3 linked regions of the Lytechinus pictus genome follow. The protein of the gene in region 2 interacts with the protein of the main gene of each other region in a biochemical or structural test. Links are inferred from orthologs where the notes say so. Each region holds a gene or a part of one and is shown on either strand. Other genes may lie near its edges.

Evidence for each region.
Region 1: of the proteins of E3 ubiquitin-protein ligase AMFR-like (region 2) and cytochrome P450 3A24-like, one has a biochemical effect on the other in vitro, tested with the Homo sapiens proteins (4 studies listed by BioGRID). The link is inferred for Lytechinus pictus from reciprocal best matches to the Homo sapiens genes AMFR and CYP3A4.
Region 3: the proteins of E3 ubiquitin-protein ligase AMFR-like (region 2) and large proline-rich protein BAG6-like form a complex in vitro, tested with the Homo sapiens proteins (2 studies listed by BioGRID, with this or other methods). The link is inferred for Lytechinus pictus from reciprocal best matches to the Homo sapiens genes AMFR and BAG6.

The regions. Positions count from the first base shown.
Region 1 is NC_087251.1:35,008,417-35,012,176, reverse strand, and holds the start of cytochrome P450 3A24-like, read right to left. Parts: upstream 2,419-3,760; 5' UTR 1,677-2,418; coding exon 1,606-1,676; intron 130-1,605; coding exon 36-129; intron 1-35.
Region 2 is NC_087246.1:24,899,290-24,903,049, reverse strand, and holds the start of E3 ubiquitin-protein ligase AMFR-like, read right to left. Parts: upstream 2,513-3,760; coding exon 2,501-2,512; intron 256-2,500; coding exon 91-255; intron 1-90. UniProt on the Homo sapiens protein: E3 ubiquitin-protein ligase that mediates the polyubiquitination of lysine and cysteine residues on target proteins, such as CD3D, CYP3A4, CFTR, INSIG1, SOAT2/ACAT2 and APOB for proteasomal degradation.
Region 3 is NC_087259.1:30,468,802-30,472,561, reverse strand, and holds the start of large proline-rich protein BAG6-like, read right to left. Parts: upstream 2,731-3,760; 5' UTR 2,663-2,730; coding exon 2,600-2,662; intron 1,625-2,599; coding exon 1,583-1,624; intron 1,061-1,582; coding exon 830-1,060; intron 150-829; coding exon 78-149; intron 1-77. UniProt on the Homo sapiens protein: ATP-independent molecular chaperone preventing the aggregation of misfolded and hydrophobic patches-containing proteins.

The sequences.
Region 1 (3,760 bases), on a different chromosome or scaffold from region 2:
TTATATCGAACCTTTTTTACCATCTCATAATTTACCTTTGTGCAGGAAAGAATATTGCCTAACAATGGCAGGGGTCTTGGGCCCTTGATTCCTTTCCTCCAAAGGTAGGTTAGGTTCCATAGCTCCTGGCTGGTGATAAATATATAAATCATGAATAATGTTGATAGTAATTGTGTCAATGGTGCTTACAAAATGACAAAATTATAGTACCAACAAAAATAGGTGGCCTAACCACCATTACGTATTATGGAAGTAAAATTTTATGGGTCTCGCATTCAAGTTATCGACGGACAAACAGTCGCTTGTGATTTTCTTTGTCCGACATGGCAGCACGTAGGTTAACGTCATATCAATCTTGCCATCTGTTGCAATTTGAAGCCGAGTTCTACTCCGATCACATAGTAAAGATTTGTTTTAATAATGTTTAAGACGTATTAGCATTATTCCGAACTTTAGAAAAAGATGATCATACGTTTTAAACTTTCAGATATAACATGACTTGTGTGGTGTGATCTTTAATTATTTCTGTTATTCAGAACGTCTAGAACTGATCATTGTTTGCAGACATATTATTAATTGATATAATATATATCAATTTGCACATATCAATTTTAATGTTATACCTCCCCTTCAGCCGTCCTTCACAGTTTTCACAATGGTATCAGCTTAGAGAAATAGCCCCCAAAACCGAATATACATGAGTAGTACCAGCATTCACGGCACTCTATGCTTCACACAGGGAATTGTATGAATTTTGAGACGCAAAGTTACTTAAAGCTATGCAAATGAGGGTATAATCAGTTGTATAAACAACTATTGATAGGCACACCTTAGCAAACCATACTTGATTCCCCACTCACACCGATATAGATTATACATATATATATATATGGTTAGATTATGATATTATCGAAATTTAGTTTAGACCACAATACTTTTTTTTTACTTTTACGAACAGGCCAGGAGCCGATCGAGGAGGTCGATGATGGATGGGGACTTTTGAACCACTGCACCTTGGCAGAACCGGAAACATACTTGGTACACCACTTCCATTCAGTGTAGAATTAAATTGTGTAATCTTTGTATGTATAGGCCTAGCTACCATGGAGCGCTATATGAAATTATTGACTATCCATGATATAACTGAGGGGGTTAATAACGCTGGTCAATCTCTTGATCTATCGGAGTACAGGAACTTCTTCTTTTTATGTTAAGTCTGTACTGAACACCTTTGGTGTACGTAGGCCTATATTCATACTGTTGACAGCTATGGTGTGGATGCGAATTAACAAATACATTGATTACGTGCATCCAGTGTCCATCTAGCGGAGCTAAGAATCTACAACTTTACAATGAATGAATCCATGTTTTACAGGAACATCTATGTTGAATGTATAATAATGATTACATTAGTTCAACCGAGCAAACAAACTAGGTTCAAAGCTCAGAATAAAGAGAACAACATGAAGGAAATGTGATTGAAAAAAAAAATTGAAGATAGGGCCCATTTTTAGTCTATTATTCAAACTCGGTTTTAAATATTACTGTTAACGTAGCGTAAGCCTTACGAGAAGAAATATCATAAATAGGCCTATATCTACTTACCCGAACAGCAAAGCAGCTATTGCTCCAACAATGGGCAATGAAATCTTGAATCCGAATATCGAGAAAGACATTTTGTGTCATGTACAGGAACACTCTTGGAAAATGTCGTGTACTGTAATGGCAATATATCACCAAAAGGGTGCTTCCCTTTGATCTCGGGCAATGCTTTGCCTAATTGCATCAGCTTGCGATCGATGCAGAGGTAACTCACAAAAAGGGGTGTTGAACACTGATCTGTCCACTATCTTTAGTCCTTTTATTATAGTATTCAGATCAGTGGCGTTGAACAATACGTCATATCGGCATGTAGGTCTACAGAATGTCTGTATATACTCGTTATGCAATAATCAACGCTTATTGACATCCCGGATCATGGATGACCAGTTTATTCCATCAAATCAACTGGACCATGTACACGTGGAAATCCTGGGGGGCGTTTCATGAAAGGACTTGTCGGACGTTTTATCCGACAAGTCCCATTTTATCCGACAGTTACCATGGGAACAGTGCCTCTCGGCCAATCAAAATCAGGGAAAGATGTCAGATCTGACAACTTGTCGGATAAAAATATTGATGAAACGCTCCCCTGATCAGTTCCAAATCCCATATGCCAGAACCCATACACTCCCCCCTAAAAGTTTGGAAACACCTGCCTTCAGTGTGTGTTTTTCGAACTTTGGTAGACTTTACTGAAGTTAAGCCTCATAGTACAGCTGTACTTTTGTTTTAAAGTGAAGGCTATACACCAGTGTACATTTTATCATTGAATCAAACAAATTCAAAGCTCTTAAGAGACGTGCAGCTGCCAAAGAGGGCAGGCTACCAGTCAAGATGGCATTCTGTTTGGGGTTCTATTCTGAAATTCTTCCCATTATTTTGTGAATGTTACAGCAGATGTCCCCAGAATTTGTTGCTCAGTATTGTTCATAAGACAGTTAATTTATGGAAATCTGCATCTTTATCCTGGAAAACATCTGAACTTGACAAATGCCTAATCCTTCTTTAAAGAAAATGCATGGAAGTGGAGTAGACATCAGTGCAATTTGAAATTCATGAATTCAAAAGTTATTCAGAGTTTTTTTACACTTATTCCAGTGCACCTTCATTCATTTTGCCTATTCAGTTTTTCTTAATCAGAAGTCAGTCACAAAATCAAAATGGCTAAGACAAGACAGCCTTCTTTGGAAACACGTCAGTCAATTGTAGTTTTGAGGAAAGAAGGCTACTCCATGCGAGAAATAGCCAGGAAACTCAAGATCAGTATCCATGCTGTTCACTACAGCCTGAAACGCAAAGAGGCCACTGGGTCTAATGGGGATAGGAGACGAAGTGGTAGGCCCAAAACAACATCTCCTGCTGAAGATAAATACATTCGGGTGAGCAGTCTGCGCAACCGTTGTCTGACTTGCCCACAGATTACAGCTGACCTCAACAACACCCGTGAGATGCCTGTATGTTCTTCAACTGTTAGAAGACGTCTCTGTGGAGCAGGGCTGATGGGCCGTGTGGCTTCAAGGAAACCACTCCTCAAAGAAAAGAACCGGAAGAAAAGGCTTGCTTGGGCTAGGAAGCATAAAGACTGGTCTTTGGAGCAGTGGCAGAAGGTTCTTTGGTCTGACGAATCAAAGTTCGAGGTGTTTGGCAGCAAGCGACTTACCTATGTGAGACGGCGAAAGGGAGAAAAGATGCTACTCCAGTGCATCAAGCCAACTGTGAAACATGGTGGTGGTAATGTCATGGTTTGGGGTTGCTTTGGTGCAGGAAAGGTAGGCAGCTTGCACAGAGTAGAGGGTATCCTCAACCAGCACGGCTATCATTCTATCCTACAGCGGAAGGCCATCCCTTCAGGGAAACGCCTGATCGGAGAAGGATTCGTTTTCCAGCAGGACAATGACCCAAAACACACGTCAAGACTATGCAAAGACTACTTGAAGAAAAAGGAAGAGAAACAAGTCCTGGAAATCATGGATTGGCCGCCCCAGTCCCCAATCTCAATCCCATCGAGCTGCTTTGGGAAGAACTAGACAGGAAGGTTCGAGAAACTTGCCCAACAAGTGAGACTCATCTGTGGGAGATACTACAGAAGGCATGGCCGGGTATTTCAAGTGACTCCCTCAACAAGTTGACCAACAGGATGCCGAGAGTGTGTCGTGCT
Region 2 (3,760 bases):
ATACACCTACTGTACAAGTAAAAACAAAATAAAAGACAAAATGAAAGACTTCGCTGATAACTCATTAAAACAAAATGGCTCTTTACTCACATATTCAAACCTGTCCTTGGAAAGTTGGGCAAAACCATGAAGGAAAGCTAGAATAGCGAACCATCCAACCCAGAGAACCAACTCCTCTAGAGTCTGAACATTGAGTACACCAAACACCACAATGAGCTTGTAGAAAGAGAAGTTCCACAACTTGTCTCGAAGATGCTAGAAAGAAATATGCAAGGTACAACATTATAAAAGGACAATAGATAATGTTGAAAACAATAAAGGGCACATATTTGGTAAACAAGAAATAGATTTGACGCTAGTGAACAACCATGACCAGTACTTACTCATTCAATTTTCTCAGGTATGTCCCAGGAATGACCAAGATATTTCCAAGAGCCAACCTTACTATCAACCCTTTCATCCACTTTGAATTTATCAATCAATCAATCATGGCAAACTAGTCCTGTCCCATTTCATAAAACTTTTTATAATTACAAATATGCAATAACAGTAATATACGTAAGCTATTGAAATCATTAAATTTGATTGGTTGATGGTAAACTTGTTAGTCTTTATGAAATGGGAAACAGTGCCCCATTGCAGAAAAGCTATCAATCATTATGGTAACTATGCCATCCAGTGGTAACTTGCATGGAATCCTTGATTGGCTGTTGATCAGTGTTACCATGGTAGTTACCATTGGATGGCACAGTTATCAAAATAGAAACTTTTATGCAACAGGGCCCAGATCAAACAAAATCATTTTGATGGTATCTTATGATGTGCAGTGCTTAGTACTTATTAAAAAGCCTGATATAATCCCAAAACTGACCATTACCGTAATTGAAATTTGGGCTACACAGGGATGGCACAAACATGTAAATGTAGGCTTGATAAACAAAGTCTGAACATCATCCAGAATAGTCCAGGATAGAAGGGGTCGAACCTTGTTTTTTTATATATACAATGTTTTTTTATGGTTTCTTGTCAATTAGAGGGTGCTGATTCCGAATCTGAATGATGCCACTCGTGTAACCTTGAGCATTTTCTGCAAATTGGCAAAATCCAATATGGCCGCTAAAATATCCAAATTACCCATGAAAATCATAAAATTGTCCACACATTGGCTATAAAGTACATGCAATTGTGCTGCCGGAGTGAAATAATATCTGAAAAAATTATTTTTGTCAAAATATTTATTTTCTTGATATCAAAATGGCCGCCATCATAGACCCCTGTACAACATGAATGGGGAAAATTAATTTTTACAAACTTGAGCAATGAAAATGCAAGTAATTATAATCTATGAGTGAAGCAATGTCTGAAAACATGATTGCTAACGATATATATCATTTTTTATGTCAGTTATGTGATAAATCCTGTATTTTGATATTCAAAATGGCCTCCAAAAGCCCTAACACTATTATGTACAATGTGAATGGTGACAAAAAAATCACAAGAGTGAGCACTAAAATGCATTTTGTTAAGATAAACGAGTGGAATACTGACTAAAAACATTATTAACGAAATTTATTATTTAACATGCCATGTATGTGATAAACCCTGTATATTGATATTTAATATGGCCGCCAAAGGCCCTAGAATTATGATCTACGATGTGAGAGAGGACAAAAACAATCACAATGTGAGCACTAAAACGCATTTTTTTGTGGTAAATTAGTGGGATACTGTCTTCAAATATAATTTGCAACGAAATATATTATTAAGGGTATCATATTTGTGTTAAATATTGCATTTTCACTTTCAAAATGGCCACCAAAAGACATTGACTGTATTATGTACAATCGATCTGGGAAACCAATTTTCACAGGAGTCAGCACCATAACATGCATATAATTGTGATTTAAGAGTAAAATATTGTCTGAAAACATAATTTTTAACAAGATATATCATTCATTCTGCCAGGTAGGTGATAAATAATGTATTTTGAAAGTCAAAATGGCCGCTACAGGCCCTAACGGTAGGCCTATTATGTACTTTGTGAATGGGAACATATAATTTTAACAGAATTTGGCTTTGCTTGACTAAAATGGTGTTGCATGTATGGATGAAATATTGTCTGAAAATACGATTTCTAACCAAATAGATAATTTCTTATGTTATTTAGGTGATAAATGCTATATTTAAAATTCAAAATGGCTGCAATATGTTTTTTTTGTGTGGAAATTATCTTTCCCCATTCAAATTTTACATATTAAGATAAGGGACTATCGGGCGGCCATTTTTCATTTTTAAAAGGCAGCATTCATCACCTTTATGACACAAGCTATGATATATTTCGTTAGAAATCATTGGGTTTAGACAATACTTAACACTTTTATCAAAATTAAGCCATTTTCGTAGTAAAAATTCTGTCAAAATTAGCTGTCCCCAGTTACAATGTACATACTACTTTTGGCTATTGCATCAATTTTGAATTTTAAAGTAAGGCCTTTATTACCTTCTTAACCATTATGTGATGTATTTAGTCAGAAATCATGTTCAAGACCAAATTTTACCTATACATCACATAGTTACGTGCGTTTTTTGTTCTCATTCTGGTGATTATTAGTTTCCCTATACGCATGTTACAGAATTTATAATGGCTTGTGCGGCCGTTTTGAAAGTCAAAATACAGTATTTATCACCTATATGGGAGAGGAAATGTTATATTTAATAAAAAAAAAATCAAGTTTTCATACAATATTTTCCTTATACAACAGAATTATATGGATTTCATAGTCAGGCAAATCCTAATTCTTCCAAAAGTATTTGTCCCCATTTATTTACATTGTAGATAATACTGTAAGGGCCCATAGGGGCCATTTTGAATTTTACAATACAGCATTTATCTCATACATGAAAAAGGAAATGATATGTTTCGCTAGAAAACATGTTTTGAGACAATATTTCACTCGTAGATTACAATTACATTCATTTTACTGTTTTTAATCTTGTGAAAATTAGTTTCTTCATTCGCTTTGTTCATAATACAGATAGGGCCTATGGCAGCCATTTTGAATGTAAAAATGCAGCATAATTACCGAAATTGCAAGGGAAATGATATGTTTCGTTAGAAATCCTTGTTGTCAGAAAGTGTTTCACCAATATTTCGCAGTTATTGGCATTTTAAAGTCAAACAAATTCAAAGGTTGTGAAAATTATTTGTCCCCTTTTATAATGGGTCTATGACAGTCATTTTGAATATCATAATACAGCATTAATCACATTAGATAGTATACAAATGACATAGTTTTGTTAAAAGTCATGTTTTCAGACAGTAGTCCACTCGCAGGTCACAATCACATGCAATAATAGTGCTCATGTTAAAAAAAAAAATTCCCCATTCATATTCTACATAATAAGGTATACAGGGGTTATGGCGGCCATTTTGAATATCAATAAAATAAATATTTTATCAAATATCGCTTTTACAACGGGTATTTCACTTCTGCACAACAACTACATGCATTTTATAGCTAATGTGTGGGCAATTCTATGATTTTCATGGGTAATTTGCATTTTTTGGCGGCCATATTGGATTTTGCCAATTTGCGGAAAATGCTCAAGGTTACAAGAGTGGCATCATTCATATTCGGAATCAGCACCCTCGAATTGACAAGAAACCATAAAAAAACATTGTATATCTAAAAAAACAAGGTTCGACCCTGTCATGACATGTTGAAGTATATGTGTATTTTTAAATTGTGCGCTTGCGCGT
Region 3 (3,760 bases), on a different chromosome or scaffold from region 2:
TTATAACAGTTGCCAATGAAAACCATCGACAAGACACTTCATGAAACGGTCCCCATAACTGTCTTTCAACAACTTACTGATGCTTGTGATGTTACTCTAGCATTGCGCCCCAAGTCTCCCATAGCTCCTAGAATGTGCTGTACGATGTTCTAAAATTAAAAATTAATATGAATATGCAATGAAAGTTATATTATTTCTTTCAATCTTGAAAAATTTATATTTTTTTAAAAGTAGGTCTTTACTGAACAGCTGTATAATAATGTCAGCAATGAAATATAAAAAATAAGAATTCTGGAAAATATCAATAAATATTATAAACTTCTATGTCTTTCGTGTTATGTATTCTTTGTCTTTTCCACATGTAATTTATTATTTTTCTGTTCATTTTATGCAGAGAAAAATAAACTTGAATTGAAAATGGATCTCTAAGAATCTGATTACAAATTCTTTTCCAACAAATGTGGAGAAGAAAAACTTGGAGAAAGGCTGTAACCACCTGATTAATGTTAAATAATGAGGATGGTCATTGGATAATAGAACAGCTGATTACTTAGAACGATGAATCAATCACTGAAACCAGGAACAACAAAAATAAACGAGGAGGGTTTGAATAAAGGCCCTTGACATATTGCTAGCATAGCATACATGTCATTGCTACTATAATCTTTGAATATCAGAGATGGTGTAATACTTTGCTGACCTTTGCTTTTGGTCTTGTCTTTAATAGGCAGAGTCAATTATATGCAGTCTAAATGAGAAATTAATGTCTCATGGCCTCAAAACTCCAAAATCATGTCTTTGAATCAATCGCTAATCAATGTATACATACCTGAACCTCGTTAGAGTTTGCAGAAAGACCAGGCTGCTGAGATGGGGCAGAAGTAGTGGAAGAACCGCCTCTCTGTTGCTGGGAACCACTCGCACTGGTGGTTGCAGGTCGTGGGGGCGCCCTCTCCACCAGATGCATGACCTTTCCATGGAGGTTATACTCGGACAGCTTCTTCTCATCCTTGAGGACTTGACCGCCGTAAATGAGACGTTGAGTGGCAGCTGCAATGCCCTGAAAGCGATCATGTTAAAGAGATTACATTAACAAAACGAATCCTACTTAAAGCAAATTATGAGCCAGCACCCTTGTTTCGCACCACATAAAGTCCTCAACTACTTGAATCTGGCCTGGTTCCTTACTCATAATGCAACATTCTTGTCAAATATACCCACTTGAATGAAAACACACTAATTTACTACTCAATACATTCATACTGAAAACACATGTAATGATTGTATAGTTGAAAATTGAACATAATTTTATTTCAATCAAGGTTACTCACAAAATAAGCCATTTACTTTTGCTGAAAGTTTTGCTTAAAGCCAATTAGATGAATTAATCAATCCTGTGACTGTAATTCCCATGGCCTCAATTGATCTTCTTAAAGAACATTCATTTCCTGTGAGTTACGTATGTATATACAGTCATTGAAGGATTTTATTTGAAGAATTCACATGAAATTCCTTTAATGATATATGTAGGCCTACAGTGCTACTCTTCTTTGTAAATAAGTGATAGGAGAAAATATCTTACCACAGAACCTGCAATCTTTTCCTTGAAATCCTTCACCGTCAACTATTACAATTAAAGAAAATAAATAAGGTATAAATACATATAAATACTTCCAATTCATATCTAAACAATGAGAATGAATTAAGAAATCATACAAATTTGCTCAATATAAATGTTGTATTAACGATAAATGTTTCCTGATTTTTCTATACACTTAATATATGAATCATCTCTTGCTGAAGTGTAATTTTTATCATTTCCCATTCATTTAAATTACATTGGCATTGTTAATTAACATGTTGTTGTCAATTGAAATTATCATAGCTAATTAAAGTGGTATTGTAAACTGAAAATAAAATGCAATATTGTACATTATGAATTATAATATTATAAAGTATGAATTTTATGAATTTTAGTAAGCAATTAACCAGAGGATCCGTTTGAAGATTTTAAGTCTGCTAAAAAGGACATGGAGCCTCTTTCATAAAGAGTTACAACTATGGTTGCTTTACAATTATGACAACTACCATGGAAACCTTGATTGTGATTGGCTGCTGAGCCCGGTTACCATAGTAGCTACCATAATGGTAAGTTATATGTTGAAAGTCCTTCATGATATGGGCCCCTAATATTAAATGAGGGTCAATACCTTACCAATTGGCACTAAAGGACAATAACACATCAACTCTGAATCAAACCTATGTTCACTGGATAACAGAACCAAATGCTTCATCAATGGAGCTTTTGCACCTCCTAATTATTATTACTAATCACTGACATAATCTGTATTATCACTATCATCAGGGGCAGATCCAGGATTTTCTAAAGGGGGGGGGGGGGGTATTTTGTACAGGAAAAATATGACAAGCAAAAAAAAAAGTCCTGAAATGCGTATGCATGACAAAATCCCCTAAGATATCTTCTTGTGCCTTTCAAAGGGTGGAGGGGGGGGGGGGCCATGGGCTGGATGTGCCCCTACCTGGATCCACCACTATCATTCATTATTATATTGAGAAGAAATAAATCAAGCAAACTTACATCCTCTGATACAGAGAATTGCCTGGTTTGTGAATCCAGGGTCTTTACAGTAATATCAATCATTATGATCCTCTCTCTCCCTACTCTGTTGTATCAAGCTTTGATCCTAAATCTAAAGAAAAGTAAAGATAAAGTAAAAAATTAAATGACAGGATACTTCACACCACAAAATCTAACAAGTGGAAAGCTTCTGGCAGTCTCGCCTGCAGCACTTGTCTAATTCAATATAGCAGCAGTGCTGACTTGATGAAAAAATAATATGCAACTTTATATAGCTCTTAATGCAATGCATACTATTACCTGGGCTTTAGTATGGCTATCCTGGGGAGCTGTTGATCAACAGTTTTGTCCAACAAGTTGTCAGATCTGACAAATTTCCTTGAATCTGACTCCCCTGATCAGACGCTCGAGGCAAGCATTCATACTGGGTAGGGGAGAGTGGGGTAAATAAAGCCCCATTTTTCATAATTCCACTCATATTTGTTTAATGCAAAGCAGTAGAAACATGATTAGATGTCAAATATAAGGTCTACAGCAGACATACATTATCCAATAGAAATATAAGATCTAATCAATCCCATTTGCATATTAATGAGCCTTAAATATTGTTGTCAGCGCGCCTTATTTGCACATCAAAATGGGGCAAATGAGTCGCCTTGATTAAAAACTATTTTCAAAGCTGTATTCAAAGTAATAATAGTTCAGTTGGTTTGATACAATCACTGAACATTTAATAACAATCACAGGATTGATATTTAATTATTTTCCCAAAGGCCCCCATTTAAGGATCTATTTATAATAATAATAATAATATTCTGCATTTATATAGCGCTTAACACATCGAAACGACGTCTCTAAGCACTTTACAGATATATTATCACCCCAGTCATCGGATCCTTGCATGCCCGCATACAATGTATGCACCTTCTCCACTCCCTGGGGAGCATTCCAACAAGAGTTCCAAGACTCAATTGCTAGGCATACTACATAGGCTTTCGCATCCTACCGGGTACCCATTTAACACCTGGGTGGAGAGTGGCAAATTGTGGATTGACGCCTTGCCAAAGGCGTCAATTATATCCAATATTATGAAAAAAAATTATTGTTGCATTATATTATTACGTTTCTCCATGTTCTAATGAAAATGAAAACTTATAGCGT